4 linked regions of the Arabidopsis thaliana genome follow. The protein of the gene in region 3 interacts with the protein of the main gene of each other region in a pairwise test. Each region holds a gene or a part of one and is shown on either strand. Other genes may lie near its edges. The genes, in order: BRK1, DIS1, WAVE2 and SPK1.

Evidence for each region.
Region 1: the proteins of WAVE2 (region 3) and BRK1 interact in binary tests that used the Arabidopsis thaliana proteins (3 or more experiments, as listed by UniProt).
Region 2: the proteins of WAVE2 (region 3) and DIS1 interact in a two-hybrid assay, tested with the Arabidopsis thaliana proteins (one study listed by BioGRID).
Region 4: the proteins of WAVE2 (region 3) and SPK1 interact in a two-hybrid assay, tested with the Arabidopsis thaliana proteins (one study listed by BioGRID).

Annotation. Positions count from the first base shown.
Region 1 is NC_003071.7:9,621,372-9,624,862, forward strand, and holds BRK1 (BRICK1), read left to right. Parts: upstream 1-1,625; 5' UTR 1,626-1,911; coding exon 1,912-2,044; intron 2,045-2,442; coding exon 2,443-2,567; 3' UTR 2,568-2,964; downstream 2,965-3,491. Other genes in the region: AGL17 (AGAMOUS-like 17), read left to right, coding at 136-270; AT2G22650 (FAD-dependent oxidoreductase family protein), read right to left, coding at 3,332-3,491. UniProt on the Arabidopsis thaliana protein: Involved in regulation of actin and microtubule organization. Part of a WAVE complex that activates the Arp2/3 complex.
Region 2 is NC_003070.9:4,493,398-4,499,019, forward strand, and holds DIS1 (Actin-like ATPase superfamily protein), read left to right. Parts: upstream 1-1,526; 5' UTR 1,527-1,996; coding exon 1,997-2,043; intron 2,044-2,137; coding exon 2,138-2,597; intron 2,598-2,969; coding exon 2,970-3,116; intron 3,117-3,367; coding exon 3,368-3,460; intron 3,461-3,595; coding exon 3,596-3,715; intron 3,716-4,136; coding exon 4,137-4,247; intron 4,248-4,327; coding exon 4,328-4,453; intron 4,454-4,536; coding exon 4,537-4,635; intron 4,636-4,726; coding exon 4,727-4,807; 3' UTR 4,808-5,072; downstream 5,073-5,622.
Region 3 is NC_003070.9:10,189,587-10,196,800, reverse strand, and holds WAVE2 (SCAR family protein), read left to right. Parts: upstream 1-1,587; 5' UTR 1,588-1,900; coding exon 1,901-2,037; intron 2,038-2,511; coding exon 2,512-2,675; intron 2,676-3,077; coding exon 3,078-3,201; intron 3,202-3,294; coding exon 3,295-3,424; intron 3,425-3,512; coding exon 3,513-3,580; intron 3,581-3,658; coding exon 3,659-5,837; intron 5,838-5,961; coding exon 5,962-6,054; coding exon of another isoform or gene 6,055-6,081; exon of another isoform or gene 6,082-6,154; coding exon 6,155-6,271; intron 6,272-6,398; coding exon 6,399-6,449; 3' UTR 6,450-6,664; downstream 6,665-7,214. UniProt on the Arabidopsis thaliana protein: Involved in regulation of actin and microtubule organization. Part of a WAVE complex that activates the Arp2/3 complex. Regulates trichome branch positioning and expansion.
Region 4 is NC_003075.7:9,238,599-9,243,153, reverse strand, and holds the start of SPK1 (guanyl-nucleotide exchange factors;GTPase binding;GTP binding protein), read left to right. Parts: upstream 1-1,524; 5' UTR 1,525-1,557; intron 1,558-1,754; 5' UTR 1,755-2,093; coding exon 2,094-2,171; intron 2,172-2,247; coding exon 2,248-2,410; intron 2,411-2,490; coding exon 2,491-2,582; intron 2,583-2,674; coding exon 2,675-2,787; intron 2,788-2,877; coding exon 2,878-2,933; intron 2,934-3,026; coding exon 3,027-3,124; intron 3,125-3,253; coding exon 3,254-3,391; intron 3,392-3,633; coding exon 3,634-3,945; intron 3,946-4,555. Other genes in the region: CBL6 (calcineurin B-like protein 6), read left to right, coding at 1-76, 158-291, 383-495, 574-649. UniProt on the Arabidopsis thaliana protein: Guanine nucleotide exchange factor (GEF) for Rho and Rac. GEF proteins activate small GTPases by exchanging bound GDP for free GTP. Controls actin polymerization via the two heteromeric complexes WAVE and actin-related protein (ARP) 2/3.

The sequences.
Region 1 (3,491 bases), on a different chromosome or scaffold from region 3:
ATTACTTCAAGTTGCAGCTAACAAATCCTTTAAATCAAATTAATCTCCTAGTTGAAACTAGACAAATCTCAATAATTAATTATTGAGATCGTACGTAGTTACAAAAGTGTGTTGTGGTAATGGTCTTGCATACAGGCTTATGGAACGTCGAACACAAATGGATTGGGACATCATGAGCTAGTAGATGCAGTTTATGAATCCCATGCACAGGTTAGGCTGCAGCTAAGCCAGCCTGAGCAGTCCCATTATAAGACATCTTCAAACAGCTAAGATCATATAAGAGATATATAACAAATTGTTCGTTCTTGATTATCTCAAAACCCTTTCAAATATATATACGTGCATATTATATATGAAGACTCGTTTGACTATGTCAATATATATGTTTTCATGCAGGAGTAAGTGTGAGTGTAATCATGTCGGAGAGCAAACCAAAGGTTTGATTTGTACGATATATACTTATATATGGTCTCAAGTGAAAGCAATGGAACAGCTTCTCGATTATATTCTTTTTAGCTTTCACATTTGGTTTTAAGTACATAATTAAGACATACATGAACTACATATATAATATATATTTTAACTAAAAAAATTGAGTGTGATATAGGTTGGTTTAGTATATAAGCTATACTTTACCTAAAGTAAAATCAGAGCTCACTTTTGTGTGTGTGTGTTTGTTTTTGTTAGTCATTGAGATTTTTAATAAAGGGAGATTCATTTGAGATGATTGCTTCTATAGTTTAGAGAAAATTTGCAAAACAAAAAGAGTATACTATATATTGTCGTTTCAGGTAAAACGATGCAAAAAGTCAGCCTAGAAATTAACGAAGTTACATGACCATGACCAACATATGAAAACTGCATTGTTTAACATATCTCTGAAAAGATTATGTTTTTGGTCGTATTAAAATAACAAAAACGAAGTAAAAAAAATCTCAGATGTGAAATCAAACTAAGAGGAGCTAGGAGAAGAAAAATAAACCCTAATTTCCTTGGGATGTAAATTTTCACCGGTCGTACAATATAGGATTTTATGTGATTCAAAATTTTAGTCCAAAAGTAGAGGGTTATAAGTTTCTCGGTTTGAATAAATTAATTTAGTGATTTTGATTTAGCGCTTAAATTTGATTGTAAACACAGTTCACTCTATTATATACTATTGTCCAATATTTTGCATACTGTAATCCACTTTTAACCTACAAAAATATTGATATAATTAGTCCGGTTTACTGCTAATTGAACAACCATTCAAAATTTGATTTGTTGTATAGACAATGAGTTATGCCTCATCAGAAATAATCACAACTTAAAATTATTCTAGTATGATGAAATATGTGTTCTGTTTTGTAAATATTATAGATACAACCTATAAATAGTTATACAAGTTACAACCAATGAGCATACCGAATAATTCACTTGACTTTAAAACAAACGTATCTTGAATTCAAAGATTAAAGATTGGTTGTAATAGTATATATGCACGAAGAACCAAGAATTGCTCAATTTTTAATTGATAGTGACATTTGAATAGAACGAAAAAGATTGAACACTAACTAAGCAATCTACCAAAATATTAAACCAAACCACATAATATCAAATATCTTAAATTATAAAATAGCCCCTATATTTCCTCTTTATCTCATAAAACACCCGTTTCTTCTTCTAATCTTAACTTCTTCTTCATCAATCACACATCATCTAAAAGAAAAACAACCTACGATAAAATTCAGAAACTTTTTCTCTGAGACACCAAAAAAGGAAGGTGACCCTCCTTCTCTAATCGATTGCTTAATCATTTCTGCCGTTGGATTGAATCGAAAAAGGGCGAATTATTTAAAAAGCTTCAGAATTTGAAATCGAAATCTGTGAGTACTGTTGTGTTTGTGGAAGAGAGAGTTTTGGGGTTTAATAATGGCGAAAGCTGGAGGGATCACGAACGCAGTAAACGTAGGAATCGCTGTTCAAGCAGATTGGGAGAATCGAGAATTTATCTCACATATCTCTCTTAATGTTCGTCGTCTCTTCGAATTCCTTGTTCAATTTGGTAAACCTCACTCTCTCACTTATTTCTCTGTGTTGGGTTTTGAATTCAATTGACTAATTTTGGAGTTTTCTCGATTTCGTATTTGCTAAATTTAGAAACTTTGTTTTAGAGTTTTTGTCAAAGTAAGGTTTTTGATGATTGGGAGATTTGATTTTGGTGGTTGGTTAGTGAAAAATTTCACCTTTTTAATTGTTGAGATGATCAGATTTCATTTGCATTTGTATGGTCTTAGATCCATGTGCTAAGAGAGATCTTTGTAATGATCTCTTTGATCTTCTCAGCTTCAATTCTAGCTGGTTTTAGACAATGTTGTGTGTGATGAAACTTTCTTTTATGAGCTAATTTGATTATCGAAGTCATTGATGTCTGTGAGTTTGTAATTTCTCTGTGTGTTTCAGAATCAACCACAAAGAGCAAGTTGGCTTCTTTGAATGAGAAGTTGGATCTGTTGGAACGTCGCTTGGAAATGCTGGAGGTGCAAGTAAGTACCGCGACAGCAAATCCTTCTCTGTTTGCGACGTGAAACACCGTAGACGATATCGAAATCGAAACCGAGCCTGATCCTTTGGCTTTAACAGAAGAAGTCTGTTGTTGAATGTGTACCATTGAATGATTCTTTCTTTCTTCACATAGCTGTGGTAGTAAGTAAACTAGTAGCTTAAAATATGAATCTATTCATAAATATGTGTATCTTTTTTCTGTCCATTAAGATCTCTTTTGAATGACAAGTCATTTCGTTGAACTCTTGAAGTTTTTGCTTTCTTCTGCTGTTGATTTATAAACTTTGCAGAGGTACCCTTTTCATCTTCTATGCATCGGATTTGTATATTCGTCTTTTCTCTTAAAGTGGAACACATGTAAAACGCTCTTGTTGCCCATTTTTTCTTTTTCATCAATGGAGGAAGAAAAAACCGAAAAAGCTCACATCTCTTTTCCTCCATTAGATTCTGTCTGCATTTGTGACTCACATTGTTTTTTTGAGTTCCACTCGGATTCATCGAGACCGACCTAATCGTCTCCACCCGTACGTACTATGAGATCACCCCACGGATGCCTACGATATCCAGGGGTCGCGGACCAACCATAGAACCAAGCCATTGTTGAAAATATTCTGTTTTACGTACCTAAACCACAAAGTTCTGTAGACTATGGATGATTGACCATTTTTAAAAAAATATTCTGAACTCAGTTTTTGTTTTGTCTGAATTGAGATTTGCTGTGTTGACCAAGCTTCCAAGCTTGAAGCTGCAAACAAGAGTGAGAACTGAGAAGTAAACAATGGTACTCTTATTGTCTGTTTTTCTTCCAAGAAGTTAGTTCAGAAGGAAGTAATTCTTCATTGCAACTTAAAACAGCTTTAGACATGAGTTTCCCAAGCCAAGCATGATAGAGTAGTCCCCTTGATCCGAGCCCTGAAAATACCCAGAAGTTGCAAAACTGACCAGCA
Region 2 (5,622 bases), 5.7 Mb from region 3:
TTGATTTTGCTTCGAATATGGTTGTTTTGTCAACGGTTTTTTATATCAAATATAGTTTTTTTTCTCTTTTCAATGCAATCGGTTAGGTGGTATTTGATTTTTCCTTCAAATTGAATTTTAAAAAATTCATTTTGTTCTTGATGATACAGTTCAATTTATCTGAATTAAACAATCTTAACCATATTGAATATTAAAACATGAGTATTGTATATTTCATTATGATTACACCTCATTTACCCCCAAATCTCTTTAATCAATAAACTTGACATGATCATGAAAAAAAATCATTGTTTAAAAAAAAAAACTAAAACAATAAACAAATATTTGTTTTGATAGTTCGAATATAATACTGCTAATACATTGATGAGTATTTATAAGTAAAAAAACTTGTAGAATCTTAAAAATATATTTAGATCGTCCTTTATCAATAAAATTTGTACAAAATGCGCTTTGTAATATTTTTTCTTTACGGTTACATCTTTATATTTTATTTTTATTTTTTGCTAAAGTGAAAAAAATAGTGCATTCTTTAGAGCTTTGAAGAACGTTGGTAGATCAACAATGAGTCGTCTGGAAAACATGTCGGCAAGAGATGCTTACAGCAATGTGACTGATCTAAAAACGATAGCCAACAAATTCGTAAACGGCGAATATTAAATTGAAAAAACTAGTGAATTGAGTATCACATATCTGCGTTAACGAATTTAGTAATTTGTTGGACGAATGTAGTAATTCGTTAGATGAATGAGATCAATCAAGCCATTTAAAAAAATATATATTCATTCGCATTGTAGTTTTACACATACCACCTAACATTGACTATAAAAAATATATATGAAAAAGAAATCTGTTGCAAGGGAGACTAACCTAGCCCAACAATTTTTAAAGCTCTAGGGCAAAATAAAAATTCAGGACCTTATATTCATGTTAAAAAAAAAAATTTATATATTTGGGCATATTTATACTAAAAATTATTTTGTTTGGGTCTTTTGAAATTTTATTACCTTGAAAACAGGTCATACTTTACACTTAAATGCTAAAACATTGGGCTACATTTTCATTTTGTTATTTAAACGGACCGGTATGAGTGAGACATGCATGATGATTTAAGCTTATCTACTCAATAGGATTAGGCTGAGACTGATATGATTCCATTTTTCGAGACCGTGTGAACATAGTTCATGATAACTACTGTGTAGTAAAGTAGTAACAAGACTTCAATCTCAAGTTTTAATGGGTTTTGTTCGGTGGTTCAAGCGTCCTTATCATAAGTTTGTTTTTCTGTCTTCACTACACACATCTTAATATTGAGTTAATCCAATTAACAGTAGGCATATATCATATATCATATATCAGAACATTATTTGTGTTATGATTACCTTTTATATTATCAAAGTCCCTAGTTAATTTGGTTTGTTTACAAAGACGATTACAGTATATTATATATCCAAACAAAATTTGTAATGATGATAATCAGCCCAGTATGGTTCAATTCAATGTTATTGAAATTTGTTTGGTTTTTAAATCAGACTTGGTTATTGAGTCGGGTTGGAAAACCAAATTAACCACAGCGCATAAGGACGAAGCCAAAATTTAAAACAGTAGTTGTACATAACTTCATTTGTTTTTTATCGGAAAAATCTCACACGATAAAGTACCAGTCGACGACGGCGACTTTCTCTATGATCTGACCGTTTCGCTGAATCTCACGTGAATCTCTGATTTTCCGGGAAAATCAATTTTCTCTCATTGTCTCTCTCCCTACATTGTTTCTCATAGCCTACGAGAAATTACGTGGTAGCTTGTCGGAAACTCAACTTCCGTTGACGGAAGGCGCGAGAAAGAAGCAAGCTTAGGTTCGATCGGAAAATTCTAGGGTTCTCTAGTGTTTAAACGGTAGAGATAATCGATCTCTAATCGGATACTGTTTTGGATCTCCATTCACACCCTCTGGTGAGCTGATTTTGCTTTAGAGATCGCCGGCTTAGTTTCTCTAATGGATCCGACTTCTCGACCCGCTATTGTCATCGACAATGGAACTGGGTACGTTCAATGATAGGTTTGATTTGTTTATGCGCTTAACGTGTTCGATGAAATGCTGCAATTAGATTCATTCTTGTGTGTGTGTGTATTGCAGGTATACTAAAATGGGATTTGCGGGTAATGTAGAGCCATGTTTTATCTTACCAACAGTAGTTGCAGTAAACGAGTCGTTTTTGAATCAATCCAAGAGTTCTTCTAAGGCAACTTGGCAAACTCAGCACAACGCTGGAGTTGCTGCGGATCTCGATTTCTATATTGGAGATGAAGCTCTTGCGAAATCGCGGTCTAGTAGTACTCATAATCTTCATTATCCAATTGAGCATGGTCAAGTTGAGGATTGGGATGCTATGGAGAGATATTGGCAGCAGTGTATATTTAACTATTTGAGATGTGATCCTGAGGATCATTATTTTCTTCTTACTGAAAGTCCTCTTACTCCTCCTGAAAGTCGAGAATATACTGGAGAAATTTTGTTTGAGACTTTTAATGTTCCTGGGCTTTACATTGCTGTTAATTCAGTTCTTGCACTTGCTGCTGGCTACACAACATCAAAGGTATGTTACACATTTCTTTTCTCCAAGTATTTACGTTGTTTGCTGTGATGAAATGCTATGTATTAGCCTACTTGCTGTGATGAAATGATATGTATTTAAGTTGTTTGCTGGGATGAAATGATATGTATTTAGGCTATTAGTTGTTTAAGTTTGCTTGTAGACTGTGTGAATCCTTAAATCAAGTCATAATTATACTTTATTCAGTTTTGGTTTTAGGGACTGAGTCTCAAGAATAGGTTAGTGTAACCTCACCAACATTAGACAATTTCCGAGCTTTGTGGGATTTAGCAAATATTAAACATGTTCTCTTGTTTTTTGTTCTGTCTCGTTATGCTCGCCTCGCCTCTTAATTTGACTTACAATTCTTCTTAGTGTGAGATGACAGGGGTTGTAGTAGATGTTGGAGATGGGGCAACTCATGTTGTACCTGTTGCAGAAGGTTATGTCATCGGGAGCTGTATCAAATCGATTCCAATTGCTGGCAAAGATGTCACCCTCTTTATCCAGCAACTCATGCGGGTATGCACTAATTTATTATCTTAATATTAGTCTTGGTCTTCTTTTGTAGTTGGTTTTCATTCTTTCTCTGTGACATTTTAAGATTTTAAAGGCACAGAAGTTAAATGTGTTAAATCCAAGCTTTGAGTATGGTAGCTAGGCTTCCTGTTTATTTGTTTTAGATGTTGTGCTCATATGCTTAGAGAGGGTGTTTACTGGTTTAGATTAATGTATTAACTTCATGTAACTTCTCGTTTCAATGTTTACTGTAGGAAAGAGGTGAGAATATACCACCAGAAGATTCATTCGATGTAGCCCGTAAAGTGAAGGAAATGTACTGCTACACTTGTTCTGACATCGTAAAGGTAATCCTTAGTGGTGAATATTCAAGTCAGATAATATTAATATATACTCTTCTGAAAATTTATTACTGGCCTGTATGCTGAAATCGCTTGAAAAGAATATAGGAATATTGATAAAGAACATTCATATGGTTGCAGGAGTTTAATAAACATGACAAAGAACCAGCAAAGTATATTAAACAATGGAAAGGTGTAAAGCCAAAGACTGGTGCACCATACACTTGCGACGTGGGATATGAACGATTCCTTGGACCCGAGGTTTGTTACCATCTATCTGTTATAAAAAGTTGTAAGTTGATAAGATAACCAGAATCGGAGACTGGATATCTTTACTGGTGCATGAGTTTCTAGTATGTCAGTGAGCTGTTCATGATTTGTTATCGATTATAAGATATTTTCAGCACTCTGTTCTGATTACTGAACGGTACTGATATAAAACTATGCTCTCTCAGAAACTCAAATTAGGTAATTACTTAGTCCATTATGTTAACTGGAAGTCTGGAACTAATTCTTATCTAGTTAGAATTCAGCTGTCACTACTGGACCCATAGGAAGCTAATCTCCTTTGTATCTCTATACCAAGAGAGTAACTGGAAAGTGGAACATAATTTCCTTTATTGTTCTTGCGTTTTTGTTCTGCTATTACCGATGAGTAATGTTGAGATTTTGTGTGTTACAGGTGTTCTTTAATCCAGAGATATACAGCAATGACTTCACAACTACTTTACCAGCTGTGATAGACAAATGTATTCAGTCTGCACCAATTGACACACGAAGAGCTTTATATAAGGTTTGAAACGCCAAAGACTGGTCAGAGTTTTAAGATAATTTCCAATCCGCAATACTGATGAATTTGTGAAATCATTTCAGAATATAGTGTTGTCCGGAGGTTCAACTATGTTCAAAGATTTCGGAAGAAGGTTACAAAGGGACCTCAAGAAGATTGTTGATGCTCGTGTTCTTGCTAATAACGCTCGTACTGGTGGTGAAATTACGGTAAGAAAATTGTATGATATTCTGGAAAATAAAAGTGATAACCAGTTTTCTTAATCTGAGGTGATATTTATTTATAACCACAGTCTCAACCGGTGGAGGTTAATGTCGTGAGCCATCCTGTCCAGAGGTTTGCAGTTTGGTTTGGAGGCTCTGTGCTTTCATCAACTCCTGAGTTTTTCGCGGTATGCAAACTAGTTTAGAGATCCGCTAGTTTGAAGCTAAACCTCATGGCTTGATCGTGTTTTGAAACAAGATGTATTTTTGTTGTTGCAGAGTTGCAGAACGAAAGAGGAGTATGAGGAATATGGAGCAAGCATATGCCGCACGAATCCGGTGTTCAAGGGAATGTATTGAAGCTGCTTCATAAATAATTCACCAGCAGATTCTGTGAATGTTTGTCTGCTTTACTCCATTTCTATTACTGACTTTAGGGTTCTTGAGTACACACAGTGTAAGCTAGGCTTGATGTAGAAGTCATATTATTATTCAGACAAATTAAAGAAAAAAAGTATGTAGAAGTTTGATTTTTTTTTCATATTATTTTCTGTTAACTCAAGCATTAAATTCCACAGAAAAGTTCCGGATTATCAATCGTCTAATTGTCAAGTTATCATTTTTTATAAGCTTTTATTCCACTCAAGAGCTTAAGTTCTAGATGAAACACATGATAATTAAGTTTTGTCTACTTTATGATGTGTTTTATTTTTTATAAATTAGTTAATAATATTTAAAATTAGACATGAATAGATAAACCTTCTTTTGGGTAAAATACACAAAATCATTTTCTTAAATTACTCAAAACAAATATCTTTCATTACTCTTTGGTTTTGGAGTAATGTAAGATATTCTGTTGTTAATAATAAAGGAAAAAACTTTCATGGGAAAAAAAAATATATATATATATCTTTCATATGTTCTACAAAATACATTATTACATTTATAGCTTGTTGTATAAACGCACTAAAAAAACATGTAAAAGAAAAAAGTTTGTTAAGACAAACTGTTGACATCACGGTGAAGCTCTTCTTTCATTTTTTCTTCTTCTATCGGATAAGAAAGAGAACATCCCGAGTCTCGACGAATACGACTCTCTTCCTCCGATCTCATCAAAAACTCTTTCGCTAAAGCTCTGTTTCTGGGCGTTCAAACAATTCCGGAGTTTGTCGGAT
Region 3 (7,214 bases):
CACTTGGAAGATGATTTTCCGTGTTCTATATGCTTAATGACATTACTGCTTCTTGATTTCCTCTTGTTTTTAACCCAAATTGGTCTCTCCCCAAAGTATAATCTTCTGGGTCTTTTTCTTGTAAAATTTGGCATGCTCCAAGATCTATATTAGTAGCTATCTCTTTTTTTTTTGGTTTTTGGTGGTTGTTTGCCTTGTTCACTCCTCCATATATAGTAACTCTTAAACTGTCGAAACATTACCGTATAACATGTTTGTTTGTAGTGATTATTTTAATCGATGTTAATATGCATCAGTTGCAAAAAAATGATATTAATTTTGCATCATTGAATATAAGTGATTTATTATTTGTATCAATTTATCAAAATAACGTTAATATTTGCAACATTTATAATAAATAATTTTAAGTGTTTATATTAATTATAATAACTTATAAAATAATACTAAATTAGTTTTTATGAAACAAATATCTTTATTAATTAATATTAAGCGAACACTTAAATTTAGTTGGGATAGTAACTTTACACTTTTTGGACACCATCTAAAACCAGAATTATGTAACTTTACATATATAAAAAAATTATGGAGGTTTTTTTTTCCTTCTGTGGGAGATATGTGGTATGTAAACAAATTGAATAAACAATTATATCAGTTAGTGCAACTGATGCTAAATCTGTAATTAGCATCGGTTATTATTGATTTAAATTTTGTATCACTTTCTAAATGATTAAAATTCACATATTTGTATTAATATTGTGAAAGTGAGGCAAATAGACCTAGATTTGCATTAATTTTAATGAACTGATGTCACACAAACTAATACGACATCAGTTATTGCAATTGATGTTAAATTATAATTTTTGTATCGATTGTAAATAAGTAATTCAAATTAGTATTTTTTAAATTTTTGTTGCAAGTTAATTGATACAACTAACCTTTTTTGTAGTGAGATTCTTGAGACATAATATCCCTGCCTCTTCTTCTTCTTCAATTGTTGGGGTTGTTCTCCCAATCATAAACATTCTGGTGGATGTAAACATAAAGAGCAAGTGATTTTAACTCTTGTATAGAAAACTAGGAGTCTTGAATGCATTGGAGAAACCACTTTGCATCGGATATGCTTAACTAATTTACCTAGTTCCAAGAATTATAAATGTGGAATTCCACGATTACAATTAAAAATTGTCTACATTTATTGTATCATACTAGAACGTACTATTTGTAATATGTCCATCTCACTCGTTGGACTTTGTTTCAACATGTAACCAACCCAACAATTTTATTTATTGACAAACAAACAAATCCTTACTCAAATAACTACAAAACTTGACGAAACATTTATTTGACATTGACATTCTCTCACTTTTTTTCCGAAAACCACTTCATTTTTAAATTACAAAATCGAACATTTATTCTGTAATCAAAATTAGAATTTAATGTTCATATCGTGCGAACCAATAACCTTTCTTTGAACCAAAAATAAAAATAAAATCCTTCTTTTCTCAAAACCCCATCACGTAATAACACACAAAATACAAGGGTAATTTGGTCTTTCTACTTTTCTGTAAACCCCCCACTGGTAAATGAAATTGGAAAGGAATGGCTTGCGATATTGGCAATGTCAATGTCTCTCTCTCTCACAGTCTCTTTCCCTCTCTGCCTCCAAAATTTCCCTCTCTGTTTTTGAGCAGTTAAGCTGCCTCATCAATCTCACTCACCAGAAACCCATCAACAATCATTAACCTTTTTCTCGTTTTCATCAAAACCCATTTTCTCAATTTCTTCAAAAAAAAACCTTTTGATTCTTTCTCCTAATCCTTTTCCCAGCTCTCTTAATGCTTTAGCCACAAAACTTTTTGTATCTCAATGTGTGACAGTTTTGTACCTTTTAAGAGAAAAAATGCCACGGAATGTATACGGTATGAACCAAAGCGAGGTGTATAGAAATGTCGATCGTGAAGACCCTAAAGCAATTCTCAATGGTGTTGCAGTTACTGGACTTGTTGGGGTCTTGCGTCAGCTTGGTGATCTCGCTGAGTAAGTATTCAATTCGAGCTAATGTTGCGTCTCTTTTGGGTATCTCTACTGTTGAATGATTCTTTGAGCTAGTGGTGAAGTTAAAGATGAGAATCATTACTTTGTGTGAAAGTAATTGCCTTTACTTGTTTAAGGTAATCTAATTGGTGTTTGTAGCTACAAATTTGGGAACCCATTTTGATTGCATGATCCTTTGAAGTTTTTGAGTTAAGCTTTAGCAAAAAGGAAGAAGCTTTATTCATTTATGATTCTATGATTGTTGTGATGTTTCTATCAATCATTCTCCATTTTTGCTGTGTTTAGTTTTGTTTCATGAGCTTAGTTTATGTTTCTTAGCAACTCCTTATGTGGTGACTCTTTATGTCGGCTCTGATATCAAGCTTAGTTTGGGTTTGGAGTGATCTCTGGTTGATAAGGGTCATTTTAGCACAAAGGAAGAAACTTTCTTATCGATTGCTTTTTCTCTTGATTAAGGTTTGCAGCAGAGATATTTCATGGGATACAGGAGGAAGTTATGGCTACAGCTTCAAGAAGCAATCAGTTAAAGATTAGATTGCAGCATATAGAAGCTACAGTGCCTCCACTAGAAAAGGCGATGCTTGCACAAACAACTCATATACATTTTGCATACACAGGAGGTTTGTTTTGTCTTCTTCCCTCTTGTCAATCTTCTTATTGTCTTGACCCAAGGTGTCTGATTCTTGTTAGGTTTCACATTAATTCTTTTAATAAATTATGTCACATCCTTAGTTCATTGTAGGCCTTCACATGCTTTTTCACTTACCCTAAAACTAAAACTTTCTCTGACGAGGCTAGTTTAGAATCTGGAATGATTGAGAAACTAAATCATTGTATCTTCTGCAAAACCTTAAAATAGATTAACTTAAAATTGAATTGATAGTATTAGTTGTTTGGTTCCCCTTGGCAAACTTTTATTTATTGTATTGAAACCGTGGAAGTAATGGGTGGTGAGAAAGTGGTCATGCTTGTATTTTTCTTACTTTATATCTTGTGAACTGAAGGAGTTTAATGGGGTTCAGGTCTGGAGTGGCATCCTCGTATCCCAATTACGCAAAATCACTTAATTTATGACGACTTGCCTCACATTATTATGGATCCCTATGAAGAATGCAGGGGTCCTCCACGGTTACACTTGCTTGATAAGTATGCCTCAAGCTAAAATATTTATATCTGATATGTATGTACTATGTACTATAATCCATCATGTTATACTGATTCTTTGCTTTATTTTCTCAGATTTGATATAAATGGTCCTGGATCTTGCTTGAAGCGATACTCAGATCCTACTTATTTCAGAAGAGCATCAAGCAACCTGAGTCAAGGAAACAAGAAGTTCCAAAAAGATAAAAAGCATTGTAAAATGAAGGTGTGGTTCTCAGATTAAATTGGTAAACCATTTTCTGTAGAATTCTCTTTTACTTGACACATATATATCTGTTTTCTGGCATGGACAGAAGAAAAAAACTTCGTCAAGGAGTCGAGATATGTCACGTTTGGCCTCCTTGGCTAACCAGAATGCCAGGTAAATTATAGATATTGTTGGCATATTTAAGTTTCCGTGCACCTAAAGAATAATTAACTCAGACATAGTTCACTCCAGGAAGACATTTGCTTCATTTAGCTTCAGTGGACAAACCTCTTCTACCAAAACCACCTCAACCAGTGACATGGAAAAAAGATATGATTTTCAAGATCATCATTCTCGCTCTTTTGAGTCCAGAAGTGGTTCAGGCTACAATGAATGCCTTTCAACTGCAACTTCTTCACTGAAGACTGGAGAAAGACCGAAAGGGGTGTTCGTTTCATCCAGCTTGACACCAGGCTCTTGCACTATTGCTTCAGTCCTTTCTGAATGTGAAACCGAAGATGCTCATGATAATTTCCAGTTTAGTCCTTCTCAAGGGCAAGCTGCTCGTGGCTCTTCTTGCGTTAGTTGGGATGAGAAAGCAGAGATAGTGGAATCTCTTGGTCTGCAGACAGATGAAGCTTCTGAAATGGTGGAGGCGAACTCTGTTGTAGATACTCTAGATGAGAAACCAAGCTATGGGGAAGGGATAGGTGGAGTTGATTTCCATTCTAAGGACAATGAAAATGATAAATCAGAATCAGGACTACGAAAACGTGCTGGGATTGATGAGGTAAGAGAGATAAAAAATGGTCGGGAGATTGTGGGAGAACCGAGGGATAGTGAACAAGAGACTGAAAGCGAAGGGGAGTGTTTTGTTGATGCGCTTAATACTATCGAATCAGAATCTGAAAACAATCAAGGGCTTCAAACTAGTCAAGTGAGCAGTTCCTGTGGTGTTGCAGATGAGAGGTTGGAAAAGTCAGTGTGTGAGCAAGAAACAGAGCAGAATTCCTACAGTGTCGAAGATTCTTGCAGATCAATGGATGGGCTTATGGCCAACAGTTTTAAAAATGAAGAGAATGCATCGTCAGAAAATGTATCTGTTGAAATGCATCAACAAAATCTACAGGCGGGTTCAGATATCAACCGCTTACAAAAAAATGATCTTTGTGCAAACAAGGATATGCGTAATGATTCTGGTGGAAAAGATACCATCACATTTACATTTGTGCCAGGTCTCGAGAACAGCTTAGTTGATTCATCAAACCCCTTGATTCATCATGGCCTACAGGAAAATCAAGAAACAGAAGCTGAATCTTCTGGGGATCTCGAAGCCTTTAAAATATGGACTAATGGTGGTCTATTGGGACTGAAACCATCGAAACCTCCAGTCTTGGCAATGCCAAGTTCTTTAAGTCCAGATTGCAAGACCGAGGAAAGGACAGTTGGTTTTGCAGAAGCTGAAAAAGATAAAGCAGATGATCTAGTTGAAAATGCTTCACATAGACATGTTCTGAATAATTCAAGCTTAGCAACGCCAGGAACCCAAAATCCAGGTAGTTCAAATGGCATAGTCATGGGTATTGTAGACCAAAGAGAGTCCCATGAGACTTCTTCTGGAGTTTTTGGACTCAGCCACAAGTTTCTTACTAGTGGTTTCCGCAGAAAGGATTCATTTGCACATGATAGAAAGACTGTACCAGCAACGATTCCAGAGAACGATGAAGTGACTACAGAGAGGAGGAGGTTTTGTGACCAAGATATTAATGAGAAAACCTTTATGGACCCCTTCAGAGACGAAGCTCCTATTGATTGGATCACTTCGTCTCCGCCTCTTCAACACATGAAAATATCTCTCAATCCCGCTGACACTCTTCAGGCTTCGAGACTGAAGCTTAAATTTTCAGATGGAGACAACACTTACAATACCTTTTCCTCCTTCCAGTTGCTTCCAGAGACTGGAACTTCCCTTCCTGATTCTTATTCTGACGACGACACTTTTTGTAGATCATCTCCTTACATGTCAGATACCGATTATCTTAGCGATAATCACTCCTTGTCAAATTCTGAGCCGTGGGAAGAATCCAGTGACAGCCATGGAAGAAAAGAGCAAGAACTATATGATTCTTTCCACGAAAGTAGGCATGTTGATAACAATGCTGAAGCTTCCCCTCTAGGGATCAAATCAGAAAGTTCTTGCGTCGCCGTAAACCTCTCATATCTCCAAAATCCTGCTGAGCCCTTACCACCGCCATTTCCACCCATGCAATGGATGGTTTCAAAGACACCTTCAGAGAAAATGGAAGACAAAACACAGTCCCTACAACTACAAGAAGCTCTCAGGTTTGCGTTTGAGAAGCATATTTCATTGCCTACAGCTAAGAACGAACTGCCTAGCATGGTGACTTCTGCTCCTAAACCAGAAATTAAGGTATGGAGAAGATTTTGACTCTTTCTTCCTACTTTTCTACAGTGTGGGTCAGTTCCATATATTCCAGATGATCGTTTTCAATATAGTTCAAATTACGAATCTTAACAAGCATATGTTCTCATAGGCCCATCTGAAGAATAATGTCAGGGAGGAGAAACAAAGTGCCAACGCAAAGGAGACTGAAACTGGAGACTTCTTGCAACAAATCCGAACACAAGTGAGTGCAAATAGTTCCTTTTTGTGAAAGAAAGTTATATTCTGATGCTTGATTTGTTATATCATCTTTTGCTACATTCTTGGTTTCTTTCAAATCAAAGCAATTCAACCTTAGGCCTGTGGTCATGACAACGACATCATCGGCTACTGCAACAACTGACCCTATCATAAACACTAAGATCAGCGCGATTTTGGAGAAAGCAAACTCAATACGCCAGGTTCATCCTCTAACTTCTGCATCTATATATATCCAAAGCAAATCTAATCTTTATTTCAGAATCTAAGTACTTTTTGTCTTAAATCCAACACAACATTATCTATCACTCACTCTTTTCTTCTTTTCAGGCTGTAGCTAGCAAAGATGGAGATGAAAGCGATACATGGAGTGATACGTAAAAGCCCTTTATCAGATTCCATTTCATCTTTGTAATCTACTCTCTGAACGACATAAATGGAGAAAAGGGGTTCAAGCTAGTCCTGCAAGAATTTTTTGTATTTTGTATCATATCTAATGTGTGGATTTGTGTAGGTGATAGTAAATTTTGTCGAGTGTGATCTGTATCTTCAAGAAAATAAAGTAGTGCAAGAAATAAAAATGAAAGTAAAATCTATAATGCCCATTCATCTTAAGGAAAACTTTCTAGAACTTGGGATTTTAGCCACGAGCTTGCTACAAAAAAAATTCATGACCATAAAGAGCTAAACTTAAATTAGTCATGGACTTTTATCCTAGAGCAACTAAGAAGAATCCATGGTCATAGTTTTTTTTTTTTGTAGTACCACTAAATTTTATAAACAAGATCAACATTTGACTTGATATTACCATCAAAGCAAGTCGGCAATAGCAACATTGAACGACAAAACAAAGTAATGATTCACGTTTACGGTTATTCGATATATTTCAAGTTACGAATGAGAAGCATATGTTCTCATAGACCCATCTTAAGAATATTGTCAGGGAGGATAAACAAAATGCCAATGAAAAGGAGACCAAAACTGGAGACTTGTTGCATCAAATCCAAACACAAGTCAGTGTAATCGATTCTTCTCATGAAAAAAAAAAGTATTTGGATTCTTGATGTTATATCATCTTTAATTGCATTCTTGATTTCTTCCATAGCATAAATATTAATTCAACCTGAGACTCGTGGTTTCCACAAC
Region 4 (4,555 bases), on a different chromosome or scaffold from region 3:
ATTCTAGATTTTGAAGCCTTTGCTCGTTCACTTTCGGTCTTTCACCCTAATGCTAAATTTGAGGATAAGATTGAGTGTAAGTGGTCGAGAGAGACTTGACCTTCTTTTTTTTTGTCATATCCAAACCTTGGATCAAGCTCATCTTTTGTCTCTGCAGTCTCTTTCAAGCTGTATGATCTGAATCAGCAAGGTTATATAAAGAGACAGGAGGTGAAGCAAATGGTTGTGCGGACTCTAGCTGAATCTGGCATGAACCTTTCTGATCATGTGATTGAGAGCATCATAGACAAGGTGGGTTTGGTTGATCTCCTCCATTGACACTAACTAGGATTCTCATATTTAATCTTTGACAAGAGATGTAAAAACTGATTGGTGTGTGTAGACATTTGAAGAAGCTGATACTAAACTGGACGGGAAGATTGATAAGGAAGAGTGGAGGAGTCTTGTGTTGCGCCACCCCTCTCTGTTACAGAACATGAGCCTTCAACATCTCAAGTAAGCTAGCCATGTTATTTGCCTTATTATCTTCTTCGTGCGGGACTAACATGTTTTTGTATGTTGTGTTTTGTGTAGAGACGTAACAAAGACGTTTCCAAATTTTGTATTTCACACTATAGTGACAGACACTCCTAGTGAGCTGGATGGATGATCAGGGATGTGAAGAAAGACCAAAACCCTTTACAAGATCATTCATACTTGATTCTTATCTTCTTCTCCATTACTCTATTACAACCCTCCTCTTTATTTTTAATAAATACGTTCTGAAAGCAGCATTACCTCACATGTTTGTGTATCCGCAAACTTGTTCGGTTTATCTTATCTGTTGGAGTGTGCAAATTGATTCTTTTACTCGGCATTAGTTTTATTTTGTTGCTTCTTCTTTCTTTCTATCTAAATTTGTTAGTTGGAGTAAAATCCGGACAACCATATTTTACAGGGAACCCAAATGGCGAGATAGTTTTAACATGAGAAAGGAAAGATTCATGTGAATGAGAAACTGGTTAACTTGAATCTCATAGATCATTGTATACTTGGACATTTTCCCAAGATTAGAACAAACAATACTAGATCTCTCGAAAATATCTTCATCACAGTTGCAAAGAGCCGTGGAGAACCCAACTCTTGAGCTCAAAATTGTATCAGCTAGTGACGTCAACCATATCGAATATGTCACGGACAAAATGGACGTATACGCCGTCGTTTCAATCAAAGACAACACAACTCAACAGCAACAAGCGGCCAAAACTCCCATTGATATATAACGGAGGTTCTAATCCGACTTGGAATCACACACCGTTAAGTTCTCCGTCAACGAGAGAGAAGCCACGAAGCCCAATAATTATGTTAACCAGTGTAACGTTTTTTCACCCACTTAATTTTTTGGCTGGGTCTGCCTAACATTCTAGGCACAAGTTAAAGAGGTGATCAATTTTTAGAAATTATAACCCTAATGCTAACATGAATGATATATAAAAAGGCCGCAATGGTAGACTATAATGGCAACAACTCTGAAACAATGGCTAAAGATTGGGATTCACCGATTCATAGATACCAAAGGTAACTATGAACTCGTTTACGGTTTATCTCAACATGAATCCGTAGAAACAAATCAACAATCCTAATTTCAATAAAGTGTGACAACTAAATTCTTTAGCCGTATACTTTCTAATTCCATTTTGTTTGGTATAATGAGAATTGGAATGACTTTTGGTGAAAATGGTTACTACTTACTCCAATTCTTTAAGTTGGTTCAGGTGAGGTATCATCGTCTTTGGTCGTCCCAATGATTGACTCTTTTGTTATTTAAAAAGAAAAAAGGGACAGTAGAGTTGGACTCTTGTTGGACTTACAGCTCCAGCTCGACTTTTGCTTTCCTCTTGAGTAATCTTCACTTTTTCTCCCAACTGCTTCCTCTCACGGATCTCTTCCTCTCTGCGTAAAGACAAAGATTCATCCTCCTCTCCTCCTTTAGCTCCCCCACTCAGATCTACTTACTACTCCAACAATGTCCTTTTCCCATTTCTAGGTTTTCACAAATCCCCAATTCTCTCTAATGGCGTAGTAGTACCTCACATTGTATTAGATCTATCTCAATGGAGAACAACAATCTTGGTCTTCGATTTCGTAAGCTACCTCGTCAGCCTCTTGCTCTCCCTAAGCTCGATCCTTTGGTAATTAAACTCTCCTCAACCTTTATTCGCGTTTTCTCTCTCTTTTCGTTAATGTGTTTCTTCTCTTTTGTTTCAGCTTGATGAGAATCTGGAACAATGGCCACATTTGAATCAATTGGTTCAATGTTATGGCACTGAATGGGTTAAAGATGTTAACAAATACGGTCACTATGAAAATATTCGACCTGATTCTTTCCAGACTCAGATTTTTGAAGGACCTGATACTGATACTGAGACTGGTAACTATGATGCATTGTTTATTTTTATTTTTTTTGCTTTTGTCAATTATTGTACATCAATTAACTCTCTGCTTCTTCAGAGATTCGTCTTGCTAGTGCCAGGAGTGCAACTATTGAGGAGGATGTTGCCAGTATTTCCGGGAGGCCGTTTTCTGATCCTGGATCCTCTAAGGTGTCTTCTTTTACTCACTTCATTGCTCTGTTATATATTTCTCATCCTTTGGTTCTTACTTTGAAGGTGTTGCTTTTTTTTTTTTTTTTCAGCATTTTGGGCAACCTCCTTTACCTGCTTATGAACCAGCTTTTGACTGGGAAAATGAAAGAGCTATGATTTTTGGTCAGAGAACTCCTGAATCTCCTGCAGCTAGCTATTCCAGGTTTTTTTTTTTTTGCATGTCACTATGCTTTACCTGATCTTATTATCTTTGTCTGATTTGTACTTCTGTTCCTCTTTATTATCTTCACAGTGGATTGAAGATCTCTGTCAGAGTTTTGTCTCTAGCTTTTCAGTCTGGCTTAGTTGGTGAGGATTCTGACTAACTGCTGTCTATTTTCTGTAATTTTAGTTATTTCAACTTCTTTAAGTTCCTTCTTTATTTCTCTTGCATCCCTGCAGAACCATTTTTTGGCTCGATTGCATTGTACAATCAAGAGAGGAAGGAGAAACTCTCTGAGGATTTTTATTTCCAGATTCAGCCGACGGAAATGCAGGATGTAAGTAACTGATTAGAGCCAACTGTCCTCTTTTTGCCTCTTCCCTTCTCATGATTATATAAAAGGTGATTTCAGTTTTTTCTCACGTCATTTTTGCGAAATTGCCGCCCCTTGTACATTTTCTTGCAGGCTAAACTTTCATCTGAAAATCGTGGAGTATTTTATCTAGATGCCCCATCAGCATCAGTTTGCCTGCTTATTCAATTAGAAAAAACAGCAACTGAGGAAGGAGGCGTTACATCATCTGTCTATTCCCGTAAAGAGCCTGTAATTTCCAAAATCCTGAATTTTCCCTTACTGTCTCTAGAGTCTCTTGCTCATGTGAATGCCTTGGTCTTAGAGATTGTGTCTTTCAACATTTATTTGGAGTAACTTGGAGATAGCCTGTGACTTATAATGGCATATATCATCTGTCTTTACTCTTTGTTTTGATATATATTTTAGAGTAGTCATGGTGATAGCTGGATCTTGATATAACAATTAGTAATTACCCTATTTATGTGAATCAGGTGCACTTAACTGAGAGGGAAAAGCAAAAGTTGCAGGTCTGGTCTCGCATTATGCCTTACCGAGAGTCTTTTGCTTGGGCAGTTGTTCCGCTTTTTGATAATAATCTCACCACAAACACTGGTGAATCTGCTTCCCCTAGCAGTCCTCTTGCTCCTAGTATGACTGCGTCAAGTTCCCATGATGGTGTTTATGAACCAATTGCAAAGATCACATCAGATGGAAAGCAAGGTTATTCAGGTGGAAGTTCTGTCGTAGTTGAAATATCTAATTTAAATAAAGTTAAAGAGAGCTACTCTGAAGAGTCCATTCAGGTAGGATGTTTCTTATCAAATCCCACAGTTTTTACCATGTTCTTTATGATTGTATTTACAGTGCTTTGAACTTCACATGGTGTGGAACATTTTTCATAGATTTTGTTCAATTTGAAAATCCTACTTGCTAGGTACACTTTGGTTGGGTTTTCCTGAACTGGATATGTATCTAAGCAAGTAGAGTTGCATGCACAGTCGATTGACAAAATACTTCTGTATTTAATTGATAACAGTTTTTTTTTGTTTTCTATTTGAATGAATCAATTTTGGTAGCATTTGACAATTAGGTCATGGTGTTTAATTCATAAGTTTTGAGGAATAGAAGTTCTTCATTTCTGTTTTCCCTTCTGAAGTGTAGTTAGTTATAAGTATATTACTAAATACATCACAAGAAAACAAGATTTCCGAGCTCTCTCTTCTTTTACTCACACAAAAAAATTCAGATCTGAATCGTGTTTGGTAACGTCATCAGACAAATAACTGGAATGCTTTTTATTGATATAACATCTTACTGTATATTGCTGCTTTTATCTGGAGGAAATACATATCTAAAATCTCTTTAAACTGTCTTGATCAGTTGGACATACGGAATCTCCTAATGTGCTAATGT